Linked DNA regions of Mus musculus. The main gene of each other region encodes a partner of the protein of the gene in region 3 in a complex. Links are inferred from orthologs where the notes say so. Each region holds a gene or a part of one and is shown on either strand. Other genes may lie near its edges. The genes, in order: Nsmce2, Eid3 and Smc5.

Evidence for each region.
Region 1: Smc5 (region 3) and Nsmce2 share a complex: the UniProt entries of both Homo sapiens proteins name them as parts of the SMC5-SMC6 complex. The link is inferred for Mus musculus from reciprocal best matches to the Homo sapiens genes SMC5 and NSMCE2.
Region 2: Smc5 (region 3) and Eid3 share a complex: the UniProt entries of both Homo sapiens proteins name them as parts of the SMC5-SMC6 complex. The link is inferred for Mus musculus from reciprocal best matches to the Homo sapiens genes SMC5 and EID3.

What each region holds. Positions count from the first base shown.
Region 1 is NC_000081.6:59,372,901-59,377,080, forward strand, and holds the start of Nsmce2 (E3 SUMO-protein ligase NSE2), read left to right. Parts: upstream 1-1,297; 5' UTR 1,298-1,455; intron 1,456-4,180. UniProt on the Homo sapiens protein: E3 SUMO-protein ligase component of the SMC5-SMC6 complex, a complex involved in DNA double-strand break repair by homologous recombination. Is not be required for the stability of the complex.
Region 2 is NC_000076.6:82,865,205-82,868,565, forward strand, and holds Eid3 (EP300-interacting inhibitor of differentiation 3), read left to right. Parts: upstream 1-1,421; 5' UTR 1,422-1,502; coding exon 1,503-2,630; 3' UTR 2,631-2,726; downstream 2,727-3,361. UniProt on the Homo sapiens protein: Tissue-specific component of the SMC5-SMC6 complex, a complex involved in repair of DNA double-strand breaks by homologous recombination.
Region 3 is NC_000085.6:23,267,364-23,271,013, reverse strand, and holds part of Smc5 (structural maintenance of chromosomes protein 5), read left to right. Parts: intron 1-2,145; coding exon 2,146-2,287; intron 2,288-3,650. UniProt on the Homo sapiens protein: Core component of the SMC5-SMC6 complex, a complex involved in repair of DNA double-strand breaks by homologous recombination.

The DNA.
Region 1 (4,180 bases), on a different chromosome or scaffold from region 3:
AAATATCTTTAGAAAATTAAAGTGTAGAGGACAAAAGCAGATGGATTTTTTCTTCTTTTCACAAAACCTCAGATCCCTAAAGAAAGCAGTCTCAAATCCATAACAGAGGCTGTCCCAGAAAAGTTCTGGAATAAGCTGGATCACCCCAATGTGACTCATGAATTTTTAAAATTATATTTATTTTGTGTCCATTGGTGTTTTGCCTGCATGGATGTCTGAGGGTGTTGGATCCCCTGGATCTGGAGTTATAGATAGTTGAGAGTCACCACATGGGTACTTAGAATTGAACCCGGGGCCTCAGGAAAAACAAACAGTCTTAGCCACTGGGCCCATCTCTCAAGTCCTGATTCATTAATTCTTAACATCTAAGACAACTTTCCTTCCTGACCTTTTAATACATGTTGTGGTGACCCCAACCATAAAATCATTTTCATTGATACTTAGTAACTATAATTTTGCTACTGTTAAGAATCATAATGTAAACGTTTATGGAAACAGGTTTGCTAAAGGGGTCATGAAACCCACAAGTGAGAACAGCAGACCTAAGGAAAGAGTCCCTGGCTGTGGTTAGAGATAATAAAACTCCTTCACTATCCCTCATCTATATAGAAATCAAGAGTCCAACTTTTCTTTTCTTTTTTTATGAGTCCAACTTTTAAATTTCCTATCATAGAAGAATCAGGACCCAGTAGAACTACCTGCCCCCAATACAAGGACTACAGCACCATGTCTCAGGTGAGGGAGACTAGGGTATAGAGGAACGACTTGCACAAACTCACAGTGAGCGACAGGACTTTTATTCCCCCCCCCACCCCCCCCCCCACCCCCCCGCGCGCTCTCGCCCATCATCACTCCAGTGACTACTTGATTTTCTGGAGAGTAAGTGCAAGATCAGCCACATTAGCAAGGCACCGCTCCGAGAAACTTGCAAGCTCAGCTATGGGCCAAGTAGCTGAGCATCACCCCAAAAGCTTCAAAGAAGCATGCAAGAGCGATTTCCATGAAGGCGTGGGTGAACATCAGGCGTGCAACCCCAACCCTGCAAGCCCTAGGTTTTCCCGTTGGCTCCGGGGACAGTACCGGACGTGGCCCACGGGGGAAGGAATGGACCTCGAACCCGCAGGCCCGCCTCCGACTCACCTGTCAGCCGTCCGACGCTGGCCGCGTGGACTGGGCGCCCCGGTCCCCGTCTCCCACCCCAGGGATCCCCCTAGAGTCCCGGGCCGCAGAGCGTCAGCTGCCGGGACCCGGGTTTCTGTCCTGGAGTCCCTAGCCCGTCACGTGACCAAGGGGCGGCGGCCCGGGCCCGGGCATCATGTGATCGCTCGCGGGCGCCAAGTGATGACGCAGAGCGCGCGCGGGTCGTTTCAGCCACAGAAGTGGGCTGAGGAAAGGAGTCGGGGTCTGGGCGTGCGACGTTCGGCTAGATATCACCGAGCTAGGTGGGACAGCCAGGTAAGATCCAGGAGGAACCGTGATAGGGGTCTAGCCGGCGTTGTCGCCTCCCTCTGTGCTCTGGGGACCTGGGCCTGAGCCTCTTCACCCGCAGCAACTAGACGGAGGCGGGTTATGCTCACATATGATCACAGGTTATGTGATCAAAACAAAACAAACTGTTTAGAACTGACTTTTGAAACTGAGGCATGAACAGGTAGCTCAGATGGACTCAAGGCCACAGGTGCCATTTCACTTCTGCAGGTGAAGGGATGTGGTAGCCTCGGTGTGAAAAAAGAGGGGGGAAGCGGGGCGGGAGGCAACCTTCTTGGGCACGGGCATGTTGGTGGTGACCCGGAAATGGTAGTAGTTTTTATTATTACTTTGGTAACTTAACGGATTTAGTCCTGCTCATTTCATTTTTGTGAGGCGACGTTTTATATCTTCTAATGCATGTTCCAGTTTAAGGAGATCCCAGCATGAAGGAATGGTAGAAGTCGGCAATTAGCCGTATTAAGTTATATAGTAGAGATGTGTGTTAGGAACTGAGAAGGCGTGTGGAAGAGGAGGAGCCGTGGGCGAGGGAAGGTTTCAGAGAGAAGGGTGTATGCATGCTGAAAACGGAGACACTTCAACTCTTGTCGTATGAGATCACCTTGGATTTAAAGGCGGTCGAACTTTTGGTTTGCTCTATGCCTACTGTAATGCTGTGCAGAAACGTGTTTTCCTATTTAAAACTGGCTTAACTTGACAGCAACTCTTTCATGAATATAAGGGAAGCAAAATAGTGTGCTGAGCCCAATAACTTGGTGAGACTTCAGGAAGTGCTTAACTTTGTTGTAGATTGTCTTGGAGGCTATAGGTACTGGTAACAAAAAGATCGGTGTTATTGGAAAGAGGATCCAAGAAGGGGTTGGTGTAAATCAGTGTTTCTTAACTAATGTGATGATTACGCTTTGTCTTCAGATGATTCCTTGTGGTGAGAGACTGTACTGTACTTGCTAGAATTCTATCAATTCCATAGATGCTGGTCTGTGACACCCCCCAACCCCCCTCCAGTGCCACAGTCAAAAATGCCCCCACGTGATGTTAGAAGTTCCCTGGGGGAGGTGTTAAACCTCCAAACCCTAGGTTAAACCAATCCCCAAGGAATAGTGTTAGAATGTTCAGATGTCAATAAATGAAATACTATATCTATGTAGTTTCAAAAGCATCAGAAACTGATGTCGTAGAGGCTGAGAATTCCCGAGGCCAACTTACCATCAGATTCAGTGTCTGGTGAAGGCATGCTTTCTGGCTTGTAAATGGCATGCACTTGCTGTTTTCTTGGGTGGTAGAAAAGCAAGAGAGCCCTTGGAGCACCCGTTATAAGGGACTAATAATGTTCTGGAGGGTGTAGCTAGTCACCTCGCCAAAGGCCTTATCTTCTAAAACCACCAGTTTGGACATTAGGATTTCAGTATGTAAAGTGGGGATGGGGACCCAAACATTTAGACCTTAGCAGACAGATGAGACTGGAGGAGGCGGGGAAGTGAAGAGTATGTGTTGGGGAAGGTATGGGGAGGACTAGCAGTTGTGGATTGGGGCTCTAGACAGCTCTTGGAAGAGATGGAAAGAGCTAAGAGCCCAAAGGAGTGCAAACGGAAATATTGTTCCCTGATGTCTTAGTCGTGGTTTCTATTCCTGCACAAACATCATGACCAAGAAACAAGTTGGGGAGGTTTATTTGGCTTACACTTCCATACTGCTGTTCATCACCAAGGAAGTCAGGACTGGAACTCAAGCAGGTCAGGAAGCAGGAGCTGATGCAGAGGCCATGGAGGGATGTTCCTTACTGGCTGGCTTCCCCTGGCTTTCTCACCCTGCTCTCTTATAGAACCAAGACTTCCAGCCCAGAGATGGTCCCACCCACAAGAGGCCTTTCCCCCTTGATCACTAATTGAGAAAATGCCTTACTGTTGGATCCCATGGAGGCATTTCCTCAACTGAAGCTCCTTTCTTTGTGATAACTCCAGCTGTGTCAAGTTGACAAAAAACTAGCCAGTACACCTGAGGAAGGCATACAGATTGCAGTAGTGGCCTTGAGAGCAGGTCCCGTGAAGTGGGAGAGGTGGGAGCCTGGCAGACTCCCAGGCCAGGACTGGAGGACAGGACTTTGAAACAAATGGAGGCACGCCTATGGGAGAGTTTTGCTGCCAGGATGAAGGCAGAAGCATGGGAAGTCATGGAAGAGGAAGGTGGGGGAGATGCTTTTCTTTAAGATTAGAGAAAGATGTCCTTGGTTTGCTATGGAGAGTGGTGTGGTGTGGGCGAGGAGAAAGCTGCTGATTGAGGAGAGCAGGAGAGCAGGGAGGAATACAGAGAGAAGGAAAGGAGATCTGATGTGGAATGGAGGTGGTCTCAGTGGACGTGGTTAGTTCATTCAACCTGAAAAGAAAGGAGAACATAGGAACCGAGGCTGCTGGGCGGGGAGGGATGCCCTTCCGTGGTGGTTTATGCTTCCTCAGTGAAATAGCAATCAAGGTCTTTTTACTTTTTACTTTTTTTTTTTTTTCCAAAGACAGGATTTCTCTGTGTAGTCCTGGCTGTCCTGGAACTCACTCTGTAGACTAGGCTAGCCTCGAACTCAGAAATCTGCCTGCCTCTGCCTCCCGAGTGCTGGGATTAAAGGCGTGCGCCACCACGCCTGGCCTCAATCAAGGTCTTTAGCTCTGGTCTTTAGTGCTAATGGATGAGGAGATGTCAG
Region 2 (3,361 bases), on a different chromosome or scaffold from region 3:
AGGACTACACAAGAAACCCTATCTCGAAAAACCAAAAAAAAAAAAAAAAAAAGAAAAAAGATCAGTAATAGTTTTTAAGATAGAGTGGAATACGCAGGAGACCGATTTTGCAAATGAGGAAACTCAAGTATATGGAAATTACAGAAGCATTTTTTTTTTTCATTTAAAGATGTGTACATTTAAATGTGGATATGTGCGTGTTGAGTACAGAGGCCTGTATGTACATCCTCAACCTAAAAATATTTTTCTTTTCCTAAAACCTAAAACAATGAAAAAAATCATTGCTTTGTATATAAAAGAACATAGTAAGTATGTACTCGGTAGTTAAAACCACTGATTATATAATTTTTATTCTATATGTTATAATTCCCATCTTATAAATGAGGGACAGTGGTGGCTTGCAGATTTAGCACCCGTCTAAGTTAATATAAGTAGATAAAGACTGGGACACAGGCTTTTCTTCCAGCCCATTTTTAGATTGGATTCCTTGAGGTGGAGTTAAAGTTGTGAGCCTGTAAGTGCTCTTAACATCTAAACCTTGTCTCCAGCCCCTTCAGCCCATTTTAAAAAATTAAAAATTAGTATTGTGATATATGTATGATGTATGTTTAGGCATGAGTACCCTGGTCTGTATGTCAAGTTTAAAAGACAGCATATGTGTAGACATGAGTACCATGGTCCATGTATGGAATTCAGAGGACAAGTTTGCGGAGTTGATTCTTTCACTCACGTTGAGTGGTTCGTCTTTTTGAAGGTTTATTTTTAAAAGTATGTGCATGCACACATGATTGCCAGTGGAGGCTAGAAGGAAGTGTTGGAACTGGAGTTACAGGCAGTGGCTGTGAGCTACCCCATGGGGTGCTGAACTCTGTCACTGACAGAGTCCCGTGCCCCCCCCCCCCCCCCAAGCTTTCTGTGGTGAGAGTTGGGTATGATGCGCTTGTTGAACTTAGAAACAAAACACTCCTCACATTGTTAAATCGCTGTGCACTGATAACTCCAGCCACTTAATTGCGCCATGGGTCACTGGTGAGCTGGTGTGTGGTTCCCAAAGCATATTATTCACCCAGTAGGTGATAACACAGATGGTGCGAGATGATACTAAAAATCTTCTTAGTTTGCTCATCTTATAGGATTCAGGTTAACCTCCTCTGTAGTGTATAAAAGCATTTAGCCTTTGGCAGGCTTCCCTTGCAAAATCCTGCCTGCCCACTGTTCTTCCACCCTTGAGTGGAGACACTCCTAAGAGTGTAAGGGATGGTGGGGGTGGGGGGCAAGAAGCATCCTTCATGCTGTGAATTAGCATGTACTTCCCTCTAAGCAGAAAAAGAACAACGGGAGCCTGGGCTGGAGGTGTGGTCTCTGTGAGCTGGGGGGCGGGGTTGCTTGCGCATGGGCAGGAGGCTCTGTTCCAACGGCTTACCTTTGCCATCTCGCGTCGCTACGGTTGGTAGGTAGTATGGTAGTAGCCCTGGGAGAGCTGTTACCTGCGCACCACCACCATGTCTAAAGAAAAATGTTCCCTTACTGGAGGCAAAGAGAAAAGAGGGGAGCTGGTCCGGAGTCTGGCATGGCAGCACCTGGTGAAACAGGAGGAGGAAGAGGCAGTGAAGAAGGAAGAAAAGGAGGAAGGGGAAGATGAGGAGGAGGAAGGCTCAGACAGTAGCTCCGATGACCCGAACCCCGAGCCCCCCTGCATGCACCCAGACCTCCTGGAGCTGGTGGTGGATCGAGAGAAGTGCCGCAAAATCCGCAGGCAGTACCGGCAGCTCATCTACACCGTGCAGCAGAACCGCGAGGACATTGTGAACACGGCCAGCGACACGCTGAGTGAGGCCCTGGAGGAAGCCAACGTGCTGTTTGACGGAGTGAGCAGAACCAGAGAGGCAGCCCTTGATGCCCAGTTCCTGGTTTTGGCCTCTGATCTGGGTAAAGAGAAGGCGAAGCAGCTAAACACCGATATGAACTTTTTTAATCCCATTGCCTTCTGCGATTTGCTGCTGTTGTTTGTGGGCTTCAATTGGGTAGAAGAGGAGTGTAAGGAATTTAGCGACTGCGATGATAGCATAGTTCTTTCCTTTTGGGGCATGTTGCACGAGGAAGCAACCTCCTGGATGCTGCAAGCCGAAACGTTCCACTTCATTTTTGGGTCATTTAAGGCAGAACGTTCTGCACGAAAGCCCCGGCTTGGATGTCACAAAAGAGCTTGCAAAATGGAAGGAAGTGGAGATATGCCTACAAAGTTGAGGAGGCTGGATGTGCATGCTAATCAGGAGACGACAGAAAAAGAAGTTGAGAGAATCTTGGGATTGCTGCAAACCTACTTTCAAAAGTACCCCGATACTCCAGTGTCATACTTTGAGTTTGTGATTGATCCAAACTCATTCTCTCGCACTGTGGAGAATATCTTCTATGTGTCTTTTATTATTAGGGATGGCTTTGCAAGAATAAGGCTTGACCAAGACAGGCTGCCAATTCTAGAGCCAACTAATGTGAGCCAGGTGGATGATGAAAGTGATTCCTATTCGTACTGCAGGAAACAAGGCGTTATATCTTTGAGTTTACAGGACTGGAAAAATATTGTCTCCACTTTTGAAATTTCAGAGGCTATGATCAAAAACTCATATTAAAGAGTTTTATTCATAGTATATCTTGAACTAACATCGAAAAATGGAATCTAAACAGAAGCACAAACTCTAGTAAACTATTTTCAAGAACAAATGAAATTGTCTACTGTGCAGTGTATTTTACTTGATAATCTAATAAGGTTGTAATCTTAAAAGTTCACTCTCATGCTTATGGGAAAGTTTTTTTGAAATTCACATGACACTCTCAGTAAGCTCCCGAGTTTCTTAGAAAGTATTAATTAGCCAACTTGCTAAACACAAAAACCAGGACTCACTGGGATACTGAATTGCTTTTTCTGACGCTGCAAAACTAAGGGCAAGGGGGCTTTTCACCAGGTCGGGGCAAGAGTGAGAACAAGACAAGAAAAGTCAGTAGTGTTCAGACTCTCAAGTCCAGGTGACGGGCTTCCTTTCAAAAAGTGGATCTCTGTATTCTGAACTTTGTTTTTGATAAATGAATTTAATAAAAGTGTGTGTGTGTACTGTAAGACTGAAGCCACTAAGTCTTGAAAGGCAGGTCCAAGTTAGACAATAGGGAAGGCATCCTGGCTTGGTTTTGAGACAGGGTCTCCTCATGGAACCCTGGCTGGCCTGGAACTCACAGTGACCTGCCTGCACCTGCCTCTGCCTCCCACCACACTGGGGGAGAAGGCATCCTAGGGAAGAAAACAAGATCAAATCTGTGCCACTGAGACGAGTCATGACCCAAGAGGCTGGGCAGATTTACAGAAAAT
Region 3 (3,650 bases):
AAGTTGTCACAGAACGAGTCTGAGAGAAGTGAGTCCCAAGCAAGTAGGGGGGCTAGCTAAGCTTAGAGAATTCAGATGGACTAGAGATAGGACAGGAGGTTGCTGTGAGCAAATTAAGTCAGATAGGTTGAGAGTAGAGGGAGAGTTATAAGCTAAAGGAAGCACAGATTAGTCAGGAAACTAGAAGAAATATATAATAGAATTTAGAGTTCTGAGTAGAGATAGAAAAAGGAGATAGGAAAAAGTTGAAACTAGGGCTGAGTTACAAAGCCTTTTTTTTTTTTTTTTTTTTTTTGGTTTTCCGAGACAGGGTTTCTCTGTATAGCCCTGGCTGTCCTGGAGCTCACTTTGTAGACCAGGCTGGCCTGGAACTCAGAAATCCGCCTGCCTCTGCCTCCCGAGTGCTGGGACTAAAGGCGTGCGCCACCACGCCCGGCTACAAAGCCTTTTAAGGTGTGTGTGTGTACAGGTGTACACACACATGCATGCACACACATATATAAAACCAGGAGTGGACATCATATGGCTTGGGGCTCCAGTTACAAGTGGTTGTTAGCTGTACTATGTTGGTTCTGGGAACCAAACTTGAAGCCTCTGGAAGAGGATAAAGCTCTCATCAGTGGACTCATCTCTCCAGCACCACCTCTTTTTTTAACAAGTGATACTAGATTTCCATGTGTATCCATGTAGTTCTTTGTCACATGCATATTTTTGTTGCCACCTGGCTTTTTAACGTTTTAAATGTTAAAGTTGGTATGCTTTGTTAAATTATTTATATATTTAGCATATTAGTAGCACTCTGGCATTTATACTTAGAGATTAGTTAGGTATACCTAAGCACTAAAAACCTAGAGAAGGGATATTTATGGATTCTAATTAAGGATTTTGAAAGGCAAGCTAGAGAAATGTCTAGGTTATAGCTTACTTCATATCTTGCCAAAGCTGCCTTGATAAGTAATGAGAATTAAATACAGATTAAAAATAAGTAATAAAGACAGACATCTTGCTCCGTTAGTCCTTGTCCTTATGAGGCAGAGGTGGGCGGATCTCTGCATCCAAGGCCAGCCTGGTCTACAGAGTAAGTTTCCAGGATAGCCAGGGCTACACAGAAACCTTGTCTCGAAAAACATAAATAAGTAAATAAAAAAACTAAAATTAATCTTAAAAAATATGTAGAATTAAAAAAATCACTTAAATTAAGAGCTCACAGAAGCAGCAGATTTAGAAGCAGATATATAAAACTTATAGGGCCTGAATATAAATTATTTAATTCCTGTAGCTATGGACTAACTGTGCAGGGAGGATGCCATGGTGTGTACAAGGGTTACAGCTCTCTCTGCTTATGCATCCTTGCCTTCTCCTAGAGAAACGGGGATTATCAGAACTAGTCTGTCGTGGATTCTTGTCAAGGCCCTTTTTGAAAAAAAATTTTAATTGATGATAAAATGAAGCTATTGATTTAATGATTATTTTGTCATTTGAATAATTGTTAGATTGCTTTAAATATTAAAATATGAGAAGTAGCTACTGTTTTAATTCAAGAAAAATAGTAAATGTAAGACATTAGGAAAGAAGCCATGACTTCTTGTACCAATTTGTTTTAAAATTGTTTTACAAAAATAGAGGTAAAAATAAGTGCAATAGCTTTGATATAGTCTCCCAAAAGAAGCTAAATGGTTTCAAACTTGGGTTGTCGCTTGACAGAATCTCTCACTATGTAGCCCTGACTGGCCCCAAACTCACAGGTTTATTTTAACCAGGTTTTTAAAGCCCTGCCTCCTGAATGCTAGAATTAAAGCCTTGTGCCACCATGCTGAGCTCCTGTGGTCTTATTTTACATCTGCATTGTTACTTTTCCATTGTAAGAGTTTTCCCTCTAGAAGTTGATTATTTCAAGTTTACAGGGTTGAGTATAGAGTTAGGTGATAAAGCACCTACCTAGCATAGGAAAGACCCTGGCATGGCTCTTCAGTCCTCGTGCTCCTAAATATATGAATAACCTTACATTCATAATGGTAGCTGGCTTTTAAATGAATTATAAAAGGGTTGTGGACACTGATAATGCAAAGTAACAAGAAGATTCATTTACAAAGAAAAGGGTTTTCTCTTACTTCTGCTTAATGATATTGCTCCTTTACAATTCAGAACATATGACATCTGTGAAGTGTCTCCTGGGCCCCATCTGAACATGATCATTGGAGCCAATGGAACAGGGAAGTCAAGCATCGTGTGTGCCATTTGCCTCGGACTCGCAGGCAAACCTGCTTTCATGGGACGTGCAGATAAGGTCAGTTAACAGAGTTTCCTCTTTGCTTTTTGGAATTTCAAGACAGGGTTTCTCTTTGAAGCGGCTCTGACTGTGACTGCCCTGGAACTACATCTGTAGACCAGGCTGGTCTCGAGCTTAGAGATCTGCCTGCCTCTGCCTCCCGAATGCTGGGATTAAAGTTATGTACCACCATGCCTGGTTTATTTAAATTACATAATTTTAAAGAAAATTCAGAACCATTTGTTTCTAGAAACAAGTTAATTTCTGTATTTTAGGTTCTTACGTATACCAAATGAGCTTTCTTTTACCTAAAACTTCTAGACGGGCACTGATAGTCTCGGGAGAAAGTTCTGGTTACTTCTAATATTGCTCTAAAACAAAGAACTGATAACAGCAATCACAGACAGAGAAAGTTTCTTCACTAAAAAAGAATTTTCAAATAATCCTGATGCCTTAATAGGGAAATCTGTCAGGGTTGTTAGATACCTGGTTAGATGAAACTTGGTTGAATGTCTGTCCATTAACAGTAAACAAAATGATGTAGTAAAAAGTACTGCCTTTTGTTGTCGTTGTTGTTGTTGTTGTTGTTTGGGGGGTGGGTTGGTTTTTTAAAGAGCTTGTGTGTCTGTGGAGACTGGAAAAGGGTGTCCTATCCATAGCTGGAGCTAGAGTTACAGTTGTGAGCCATCCATTCATTGTGGGTGCTGGGAACCAGATTTTGCTACTCTGCAGTAGTGCAAAGTATGAGGGAAAGTGAGATAGTTCAGTGGGTAAAAGTGCTTGCTAGCAAGCAGGCAACTGAGTTCCATCCCTGAAGCCCACTGGTTGGGAGGAGACAGCTGATACACACACGGGACATGACATATGTTCTGTTGCAGATAAATATAATTTTAAAAGCTTAAATAAAAAGTATTTTGGTACAGCTTAAAGTGAACTGCTGAGAGCACTGCAGAATTAGAGCTGTATATAAGCATTGTAATATAATGCTACAGAATTGAACCAGTATACCCTAAAATTAAATAAATATTTTTTAAAAGCAAGCTATACCAGAGATATTTGTGGGCTAGAAAAGATGCTTTGCTCTGTTGATAAGTTAGCCTTGTGACCTTTAACAGTCGTCCGGACATCAAACTTTGATTTAGATGATAAAGAGGTTGAAGTAGTTAATTTGCAAAGACTAGCTTGGATTTTTCTATATCCTTTGTCAAGTCATGAGTTCAGTCCCTCCTCATTGGTCTCTTGGGTTGTAGTCTCTAATTCTGTACAATTAGAATGGGTTGTGCTGTAGTAGTTTTTATCGGCCATGCAGTTTTAATTTTAAAGAAACCACATTTCCTTTTGGACTGGTAGGAATCTTACAGGAGGCCCTGGAGTGCAGTGG